Oryctolagus cuniculus: one gene and its partner. The protein of the gene in region 1 purifies or fractionates together with the protein of each later gene. This does not show direct contact. Links are inferred from orthologs where the notes say so. Each region holds a gene or a part of one and is shown in the gene's direction. Other genes may lie near its edges.

Region 1 (4,234 bases):
AAATAAAATAAACCCCCAACAAACAAAAACAAAAATCTGCTCCTGGAAACAATTTCAATATCACTTTGCATTAGATTATCATGTAATAATCATTCTCATTTGAGCTCTCATATGCCAAGCATTTTGCATATATTATCTCATTTAATTTTCACAAAGGCCCATGAGAGACAACCATTATCCTTATTTTGCTGAAAAGACTGCGGCTCTAAGAAATCAAATCAAGAGACATGCCCATCAGCCTACCACTGGGTTGCAGAGAAGGTATTCACACCCAAACCTTTCTGAAAATAAAATATTTATAAATTCCCAGTTTTCCAATGGAGCATCATCTACCCAAGGCAGAATCAGTTTCTGTAAGTTCTTGAATGCCAAGAGCAAGCTTGAAGTCCATTTTGGAGGGAGAGTGAGGTGGGGTTGTGTTACCCATCAGGCAACTTGGCAGTGCAAATGGGGCCCCACAAAACTGTCTTTTTCCTTTAAGAAGAAAAAAATGAATGCGTAGGTCCGAGAAAAAGTTCTACTAATATGCTCATCTCTATCCTGCTGGAGTTGTAAAACATAAATTAAGTATAAATATGGAAATAAATATCTACAACACACAAAGCCAAAGTGCCCAGAGTCTAAGAAACGTGGCCTTGAACTGAGGCGTGTTCAGCTTTTCGGAGCAGTGATACTGGTGGGCCAAGGTGGATCCGGGAGGTGGTGGAGAGACTGTGATCAATGCGCTTCCCTTTCCCTGTCAAAGGCACCCGCAAAGCAAGGTTAAGAGAAACAGAGGTGAAACAGCGCAGCGAGCTCATCAACCCGAGCCTCAGTGCGGCCAGATAAAAACGTGGCATGTGCCTCCTGAGGTCCAATAAACACATTTTGAGGGAAAGCAGTAAGTCCTCAGAACACTGGCCAGTTTACAGTAAGGTGCCAGTAACGAAAAGCTGCTGGCATTAAAAATAATTAAAAAACAAAAAAGTCTTCAAGACCAAGCCAAGCCTCCAAAGACGCACGCCACCAGGTCCGCACGAACCTGCGCAAGTAACTTCCCCAGGAGGCGAGGGCTCGCCACTGCGCTTGCGCCCACGCGCGGTCCCCGGCCCCTCCGAGCACGAGAGCCAGCGGGGCGGGCCTCGGCGCCGGCGCGACGAGTCCAGAGGGGAAGCCTGGGGAAGGGGCGTGGCTACCGGACCCGCCTCGGCCACCCTCTTCCGGGCTCCGCAGCTGCGCGCGCACCTTCCCCCCCTTCTTTTGTGGTCCGGCCCATTGCGAGGGTGACAGGAAACCCTGTGCAGGGAGCGCCGCCATCTTGGACCAACCCGAGGAAGATCTTGAGGGAGCCTCAGGGGCAGTCGCCGCTGCCACCGCTGCTGCCGCTGGCGCGTCTGCACCCCTTGGCCAGCCCGCCTGCCTGCCGGGGCCTCGGCCGACCGCGCCCGCCCCGACTCGCGCTGCGGCCGCACTCCTCTTCCTCGTCCTGACGCCCCCCTCCCGCCCGGAAAGCTGCCCAGCTACCAGCAACCCCCCAGGTAACCCAGGCCTTCCGCAGTGTCCGTCCGGCCAAGGCCTGCTGGCCCGGCCCTTCCGAGGGGCGAGGGTGGGGACGGCGGCGAGCAGGGCCGCTGGCGGGCGGTGCCCCGGGCCAGGCCCTGCCAGGCCGCGGCGAGTCCTGGAGTCGGCGGCGCCGGCCTGACAGGACCCCCGCGCGGAGGCGGAGGTGTCCCCAGCGCTGCTGGCCGGCCCGAGGGCTGCGGGCCTCGCCTGCCCCGCCACCGCGGCCCGGCTGGCCGGAGGCGCGTCTCCCGCGGGCCCCGCTGCGGGGCCGCCCCCGCGGTGTTTACCCCCGCGCGCCGCGCCGCCCCCAGCCCCGGACGCCGAGTGCCCCTCCGGGGTAGGCCGCGGCGAGCCGCGAGTACAAAAGGCAGCCGCTCGCGTTGCCGCTGGCATCGTGGGCCGGCGCCGGTGCCCTTGTCGACGTGGGGGAACCCGCCTGTGGCTGGGGTCGCGGTCGGGGGCTGGGGGGGGTGTGCGTGCGAAAGCACGGGTGTTGGGGAGCCCCTGCGAGGCCCTGAACACGCCTCGTGTCTAGACGTCGTGAGCGAGGGAGAGAGTTGTGGCATGTCTGGAATTTAAGGAAAGAAACGGACAGGAGTGCGTGGAGGGCGTGCTCGCCGCTGTGTGCGGGGCACGGACGTAGGAGCCTGTCCGCGCACACACGCGCCTTGGAGCTAAGTTGTCACCGTTTTAGGGGCGAGGAAACTGAGGCCTGTAGTTGTGCTGTGGCTCATGGTGGCCTCTGCACACCGGCTTCTCCCCACACTGGCTGCTGCTTTCTGAGCTGCACGCAAAGTCCGGCGGGGGCTCCAGACAACGGGCACTTTAGGTATAGCCAGAACTCCTTTCCCGTTTTTTCCCCTCTGTTTGCATTGGCTGATAGCTGATTGCTTCTTGATGACCCGAAGCTCTGGCAGTCGCGACGCTGTCAGAAACCGTCATTCTCAGTCCCGGAGCAGAGAGGCAGGAGTTCCATTTGACGTGTGAGAAGTGGGCAGGTGCCGTGCCGGGGGCCCACGGGGAGTGTCAGGGCGCAGACGGCAACTCCTGCGAAGTTCACTGCTCCCCGCATTACTGTCCCGGCTGCCTTGTGTTTACACGTGCTTACTGAGGACAAGGTAACCTCAAGTCCAGTGAGCCCGCCTTCAACCTGTTTCCCCTGTGCCTTTCCAGCCATTTTTCTTCTGAGTTCTGCTGAGGTGATTTTACTTGGTCATGTCTTGAGGCATGTAGTGGTTTAGCGTTTGGGAGTCTTGGGGTTCCCACTCCAGTACTGCCACTTCCTAGTTCGTTAGGAGACCTTAGGCAAGTTACTTAACCTCTGAGACTCTGTCCTTACCTATAAAGGGGTGGTAGTCCTGCATCTTAGAGTTGCTGTGAGGATTAAATGCTAGTTAGACATTGCATGGCATATAGGTAATGCCTGGGAAGTACCACGCCCATGCTGGGTATTTAATATCTGTTGATTGAGAGGCATGGCTTTGGAGAGCTCAAGAATTAGACTTGGATTTTAATCCTAGCTCTCCGTCTGATAGCATATGACCACTGCTCTGTCACCTTTCTGACCTGGCATCCTTATTTGTTTGTAAAATGAACTGTTAGGGTTAGAGGTTATAAAGTAGCTGGGGACACTCAATACATGGCTGTTGTCAGATGTAAAATCTTCACATTCGAATAGCAGTTACGAAATTCTTGGAATTAAAGCTACATTTTAAAAAGTTTTTGTATTTTTCATGTTAAGGGTTGTATTTGTTCATACTTAATTTTGCACAGAATTTAGTGTTCTTACAGATCGTACAGATTTTTATCAATATCAAATACTTTTGCATAATCTTAGTAAAATATTGTACTATTGGAGTAAACTTTTGGTTGAAACAGTAAACTATTGAGTGATTTACTTTTTTAAATATCTAAAAATGCTAGGCATGGATAGAAACAATGTACAAATACATGTTAGAGATACTGTACCTATTTTTTAAAAAAACTTTATTTTAGGTAGTTTTAAGCGTAAATAAAATAATTTACTGAGTCTTAGATACACACCAGCCAATGTTAACAATAATCATTCTTCATTTTTATAAACCTTTCTCTTCCCTGCCAAATTATTTTGAAGCAGATCTCATCACTAAACTTCTCACTGTTTACTAATCCTTTTAACTCTAGTGGTAAGTGCAGGTTTTTTTGTGGCAGGAGGGGATTGTCATTAAATGTTTTTCTTCTGTGAACAGAGGTGCAATGTAGAAGTACTTTGGTTTCCTATTCATAGCACACCAGCATAATTAACTGCAAGATTTTTTTCTCTTGACACATTAAGCAGTTTAGTCACTTTTTCTTATCTACATTATTAATTTATATAAAAGTATGGCATTAAATGTTTTGCTAGTGAGTGGGTTATTTTCAGAGACTACTATGGTTGAGGAAAGGAAATTGACCACTCATTTTGATTAAATCAGATTGTTAGATGGACTGCCAAAGTTTTATGTTTGTCTGACAAATGAAGTGTCATTCCATTTCAGTGGGCTTGTAAACAAATCAGAATGCTCTGTTCTTGGCCTTCCATGAAGGCAGAGATGACATTGTCATTTTGATCATTACTATATTGTCAACGTGAGTTAAACTATAAAAGAACTAAAAAAAAAAAAAACCATCCTCTATTATTGGGTGTTGGTTTTTTATTTTGAGGCCAAATCAT
Region 2 (4,244 bases), on another chromosome or scaffold:
ACCTACGGCCTGCACATGATCCTCAGCCTCAAGACCATGGATCGCTTTGATGACCACAAGGGCCCTGCCATCTCTCTGACCCAGATCGTGTGACCCCGTGCCAGGGGGGAGGGGTTGTGGTTGTGATGGTGTCCAGGTTGTCATTTTCCCACCTTATGGTACATGGCACCCAAGGACCCCCTCTTGCTACCATAGCATGAACCCCCAGCTCCCCTCAGCCTGTCTCACTCCCTCATCAGCCTGCGGAGGGGCTTCCCCGAGGCTTCTCCCAGCCCTCCTGACAAGGTGTAGATATTCTGCATAGATTTTAGGCCTGTCTCCCGGGTCAGCCATGGGAAAGCACAGGGGCATTAGTTCTAGGGTCCCCTTTCTCCTCCCCTTATTTATTCTTCTCTATCTACCATAAGCTCTGGCTGTACATAGCGCTTTTGTGTAGCAAGTTCTCCCTCCCCCAGCTTTATGGGGCTCCCTACAGCAGCCAAGAGCTTCAGGTTGCCCGAGGTTGGCAGAATGTGGAAGTGACCACTTCTGTGTCCCGCTTGGCTGTCGTTGTTGTATCCTGGTGATGTTGTGTTAACAATCAACACTGTGCTGGGGTTTATTTCTGTGACTTCAGGAGGAAGGAACCTCCATGACAGGTGGGCTGGGCGTGACCACTGTGTTTCAGGAGCGCCTGGCAGGAGCCTGGCATGCTCCATTGTCTCCTTCCTAATAAAATAAAGATGGGTCGCCACACGTTGGGCCTCTTGTCATTCGTTTCTGGACTAGAAATGAGGAAAGCGTTGGACTGAGGGATGGGAGGAGGGCAGGAGGGCGGGCGGGTGCGGGGAGGGGGGGAGGTGGCCCTAGATGTATCCCAGCCAGGCCAAAATCCAGGAGCCAGGGCCCGCCAGGGACTCTTTTAGCAAACTGGGCCCCTAACCGGTTAAGGTAGGGAAGGAGTGGTCGGGACAGCGGTCGCCGCGACAATGGCAGCTTCAGCGTCGTGAGGGGGCCGCCCCCGGCTGCTGCAGCAGCGCGTGCCCGGCCCGCGGGGCCGCGCGGAGCCTCCCGGGGGGCGGGGCGGGGCGGGGCGCGCGCGGCTCCCGCGCACGGATCCCTCTCGGACCGCAGTACCGGTCATCGGACCGCCCCGCCTAGCTTCCTCTGGGTCCTTGGCAAACGGCGACGCCGGCAGAGCCGCACTGGTGCTAGGGCCCGAGTACCGGCAACCCTCTTAGGAGGCAAGCCAGGGAAGCGGTGATCACTGCTAGGCGTGGTGGGGCCTGGGGAAGTGTTGGGACTTTTTGACGCGGCGGAGGGGTCAGGCGGCGTTCGAAGTGCCGCCATCTTTGGTCCAGTGCGGCGGCGGCGGCGGCGGCGGCTGCTGCTGTGGTGAAACGGGAGGAGGAGCCGAGCGGGCGCTGGTACCAAGGCCTGACCATGGACGAGGAATACGATGTGATCGTGCTGGGGACCGGCCTCACCGTAAGTGTGGCCTCGGGCGCCTGCGCCTCCGCTTCGTGCCTTCCCGAATCCCTGCGATGATGCAGCCGCTGGCCGCCAAACCCATCCTCCCATCATTCCTATCCTCTGCCCTTGGGTCCCCGAAACGCCAGCCCCGTACCCACCCCACTGCCTTCTCTTTCCCCACTCCCCAGCCCCCTTGGCCTCGCGACGTCTTCTCTGCTCGCTGCCATGACCTCGAAGCGGGGTCTCCTGGCTGCTCCCTTGACTCCCTGGTGCCGACTCCCGGCCTCTCCCATCTTCCCTACCCTGCCCTGCTGGGCCGGAAAACGTATCCCCCACTCGGCCTGATGCCCCCCAGTCCCTCCCATCCAGTCCCCACCCATCGCCCCCACCCATCACCTTCCTAGTATTGTGCCCCCCCAACTTATACTAATCTTAGTAGGGGTGAAGTACGAGGACCTGGGGTTAGGGGGCCTTGCCAGGTTGGGGCCTCGTCCTGTGTTCCTGGCTGCTTCTGGGATCAGAAGAGCCAGGGAATGTTCCAGAATAACTAACAGCGAGGGCAGTGACCACATTCCCGCTCCCCCACCCTGGTTTCCCATGGAGACCTGAGGCTGAGCAATATCTGCAGCCTTTGTCCTTGGGCTGGTGACAGTGACTAGGGAGAATGTTCATCGTCCCCCTTCCCCCACAGCGTGTTCACCCGCTCCCCTGAGAGACACATTTCCCTCAGGCCAGGCCCAGATGCCCCTCCTGAGCCCAGGTGGGGAAGGCTTAGGGTCAGGGGCTCCTGGCCTTTGACGACGGAGCAGCCGAGGGTGGGGCCTGAGAGTCCAAGTGCCTTTCTTCACTTCCCTTTTGGGCGCCCTCTGCGGCCTGGCCAGGTCCGCTGTGTGCCTCATTGTGTCTTATCTGCCGGATTGTGCGGCTCTGCACTGATAGAGGACTTTCTTGGCAGTCGGTGCCATGAGACTGTCCTTGTGTCTGCTGGACACTCTGTCTCCCCCGACTCCTTCATTATTTCTCTCTGGTTCACCTCTGCTTAGCAGGGTAAAAAAGGAGACGGGCGGATGTAGCCATCGCCACCAGTGTTAGGCAAGGCGGCGGCGGCGGAGGCTGGGGGCGTGGAAGGAGCTGTCCATTGTGGCAGGCTTGGGGAGGAGAACAGATCAGGGCTGCTGGTGCGAAGTGGGCAGGTGGGAGCGCACCGGCTGTCCTCACACCCCTAGGAGTGCATCCTGTCTGGTATCATGTCTGTGAACGGGAAGAAGGTGCTGCACATGGACCGGAACCCCTACTATGGGGGCGAGAGCTCCTCCATCACTCCCCTGGAAGAGGTAAGGCTGCCAGCCTGGCCCAGGCCGGGCCCTTGGAAACCTCTCACTGGAGCCATAGTGTAGCAGCAGCGGGTGGCAGGGAGAGGGAGGGCCAGTCCTTGAGGTGTCTCTCTCTCTCCCCCTCCTGCTTACAGTTATATAAGCGTTTTCAGCTGCTGGAGGGGCCCCCTGAGTCGATGGGCCGGGGCCGAGACTGGAACGTTGACCTGATCCCCAAATTCCTCATGGCCAATGGTGAGGGAGATGGAGGAGCTGCTGCGGTTTTCCTAGGGGCGCGGTGGTGACTGGGAAGGACCGGAGGGGGTTGGGCTCCAGACAAGGGCCCGCCAGGCTGGCCAGAGCTCCTGCAGGGAGCTGTGCTGATGTTGTCCCCACCACAGGGCAGCTGGTAAAGATGCTCCTGTATACGGAGGTGACTCGCTACCTGGACTTCAAGGTGGTGGAGGGCAGCTTTGTCTACAAAGGCGGCAAGATCTACAAAGTGCCATCCACTGAGACCGAGGCCTTGGCTTCCAGTGAGTGTGGGTCTCCCGACCTCAGGGCGGGTGGCAAGGTAGACACCGGGAGCCGGCCACTGTACGCCCGAGGCTGCATCCCCTGTGAGGTAGCAGATGGCCCTTGCTCTGTTCCTGCTGCTGCCATGTGCCTCACCTCACAGCGGCTTGCTAGCAGGGCGATCCGCGTGCAGAGAGGAGTGGAGGGTGCTCCTTTTCGGAAGCCTGTGACAGGGGCTCCGCTTGAGCCCTGGAACATCTCTAAGTGTCGGAGCCAAGAGGGCCTTCAGAGTGTGCCCGGCCCAACCCCCTCTTCACATGGGTGGGGAAACCGAGGCCGAGACAGGTAGATTACGCTAAGGTCATGTGACAGACCTCACTGGGAGCCGGGATGCCAGCTTTCTCGGCCAGCCCACGGGGGTGGGGTTGGGGGGGGGCGGGAAGGAGAATTTTGTATTCTAGTGCAAAGGGTCCCCCCTTGCCGCCTTCTTCAGATCTGATGGGCATGTTTGAGAAACGGCGCTTCCGCAAGTTCCTGGTGTTTGTGGCAAACTTTGATGAGAATGACCCCAAGACCTTTGAGGGCGTCGATCCCCAGACTACCAGCATGCGTGACGTATACCGGAAGTTTGACCTGGGCCAGGATGTCATTGATTTCACTGGCCACGCGCTGGCACTCTACCGCACTGATGAGTGAGGGGAAGCTGGTGTGGCGCGGTCCCCTTGCCTGGCCTTTACCCTGCCTCCCCAACACCTGCCCACTGCTCCCTCTGCCTACCCTGCACATTTCTCGTACTCAGCCATAGGCTCCCCTGTTGCCTGTCCGCCCCTCCCCTGCACTTGACCCCCCGGCTCCCCTGGGCCATTCGGGGTGGTGGGGTGAGCCAGGGAGCCTGTTGGAGCATCTTCCCTGACCTCTGTCCCCCCAGCTACCTGGACCAGCCCTGTCTGGAGACCATTAACC

What was found.
Region 2: the proteins of RAB14 (region 1) and GDI1 purify together in Homo sapiens (affinity purification with mass spectrometry; 3 studies listed by BioGRID and IntAct, counting the BioPlex papers as one, with this or other methods). This does not show direct contact. The link is inferred for Oryctolagus cuniculus from reciprocal best matches to the Homo sapiens genes RAB14 and GDI1.

The regions. Positions count from the first base shown.
Region 1 is NC_091432.1:225,199,736-225,203,969, reverse strand, and holds the start of RAB14 (ras-related protein Rab-14), read left to right. Parts: upstream 1-1,384; 5' UTR 1,385-1,517; intron 1,518-4,234.
Region 2 is NC_091453.1:132,666,720-132,670,963, forward strand, and holds the start of GDI1 (rab GDP dissociation inhibitor alpha), read left to right. Parts: upstream 1-1,422; coding exon 1,423-1,467; intron 1,468-2,678; coding exon 2,679-2,786; intron 2,787-2,920; coding exon 2,921-3,020; intron 3,021-3,166; coding exon 3,167-3,301; intron 3,302-3,774; coding exon 3,775-3,973; intron 3,974-4,209; coding exon 4,210-4,244. UniProt on the Homo sapiens protein: Regulates the GDP/GTP exchange reaction of most Rab proteins by inhibiting the dissociation of GDP from them, and the subsequent binding of GTP to them. Promotes the dissociation of GDP-bound Rab proteins from the membrane and inhibits their activation.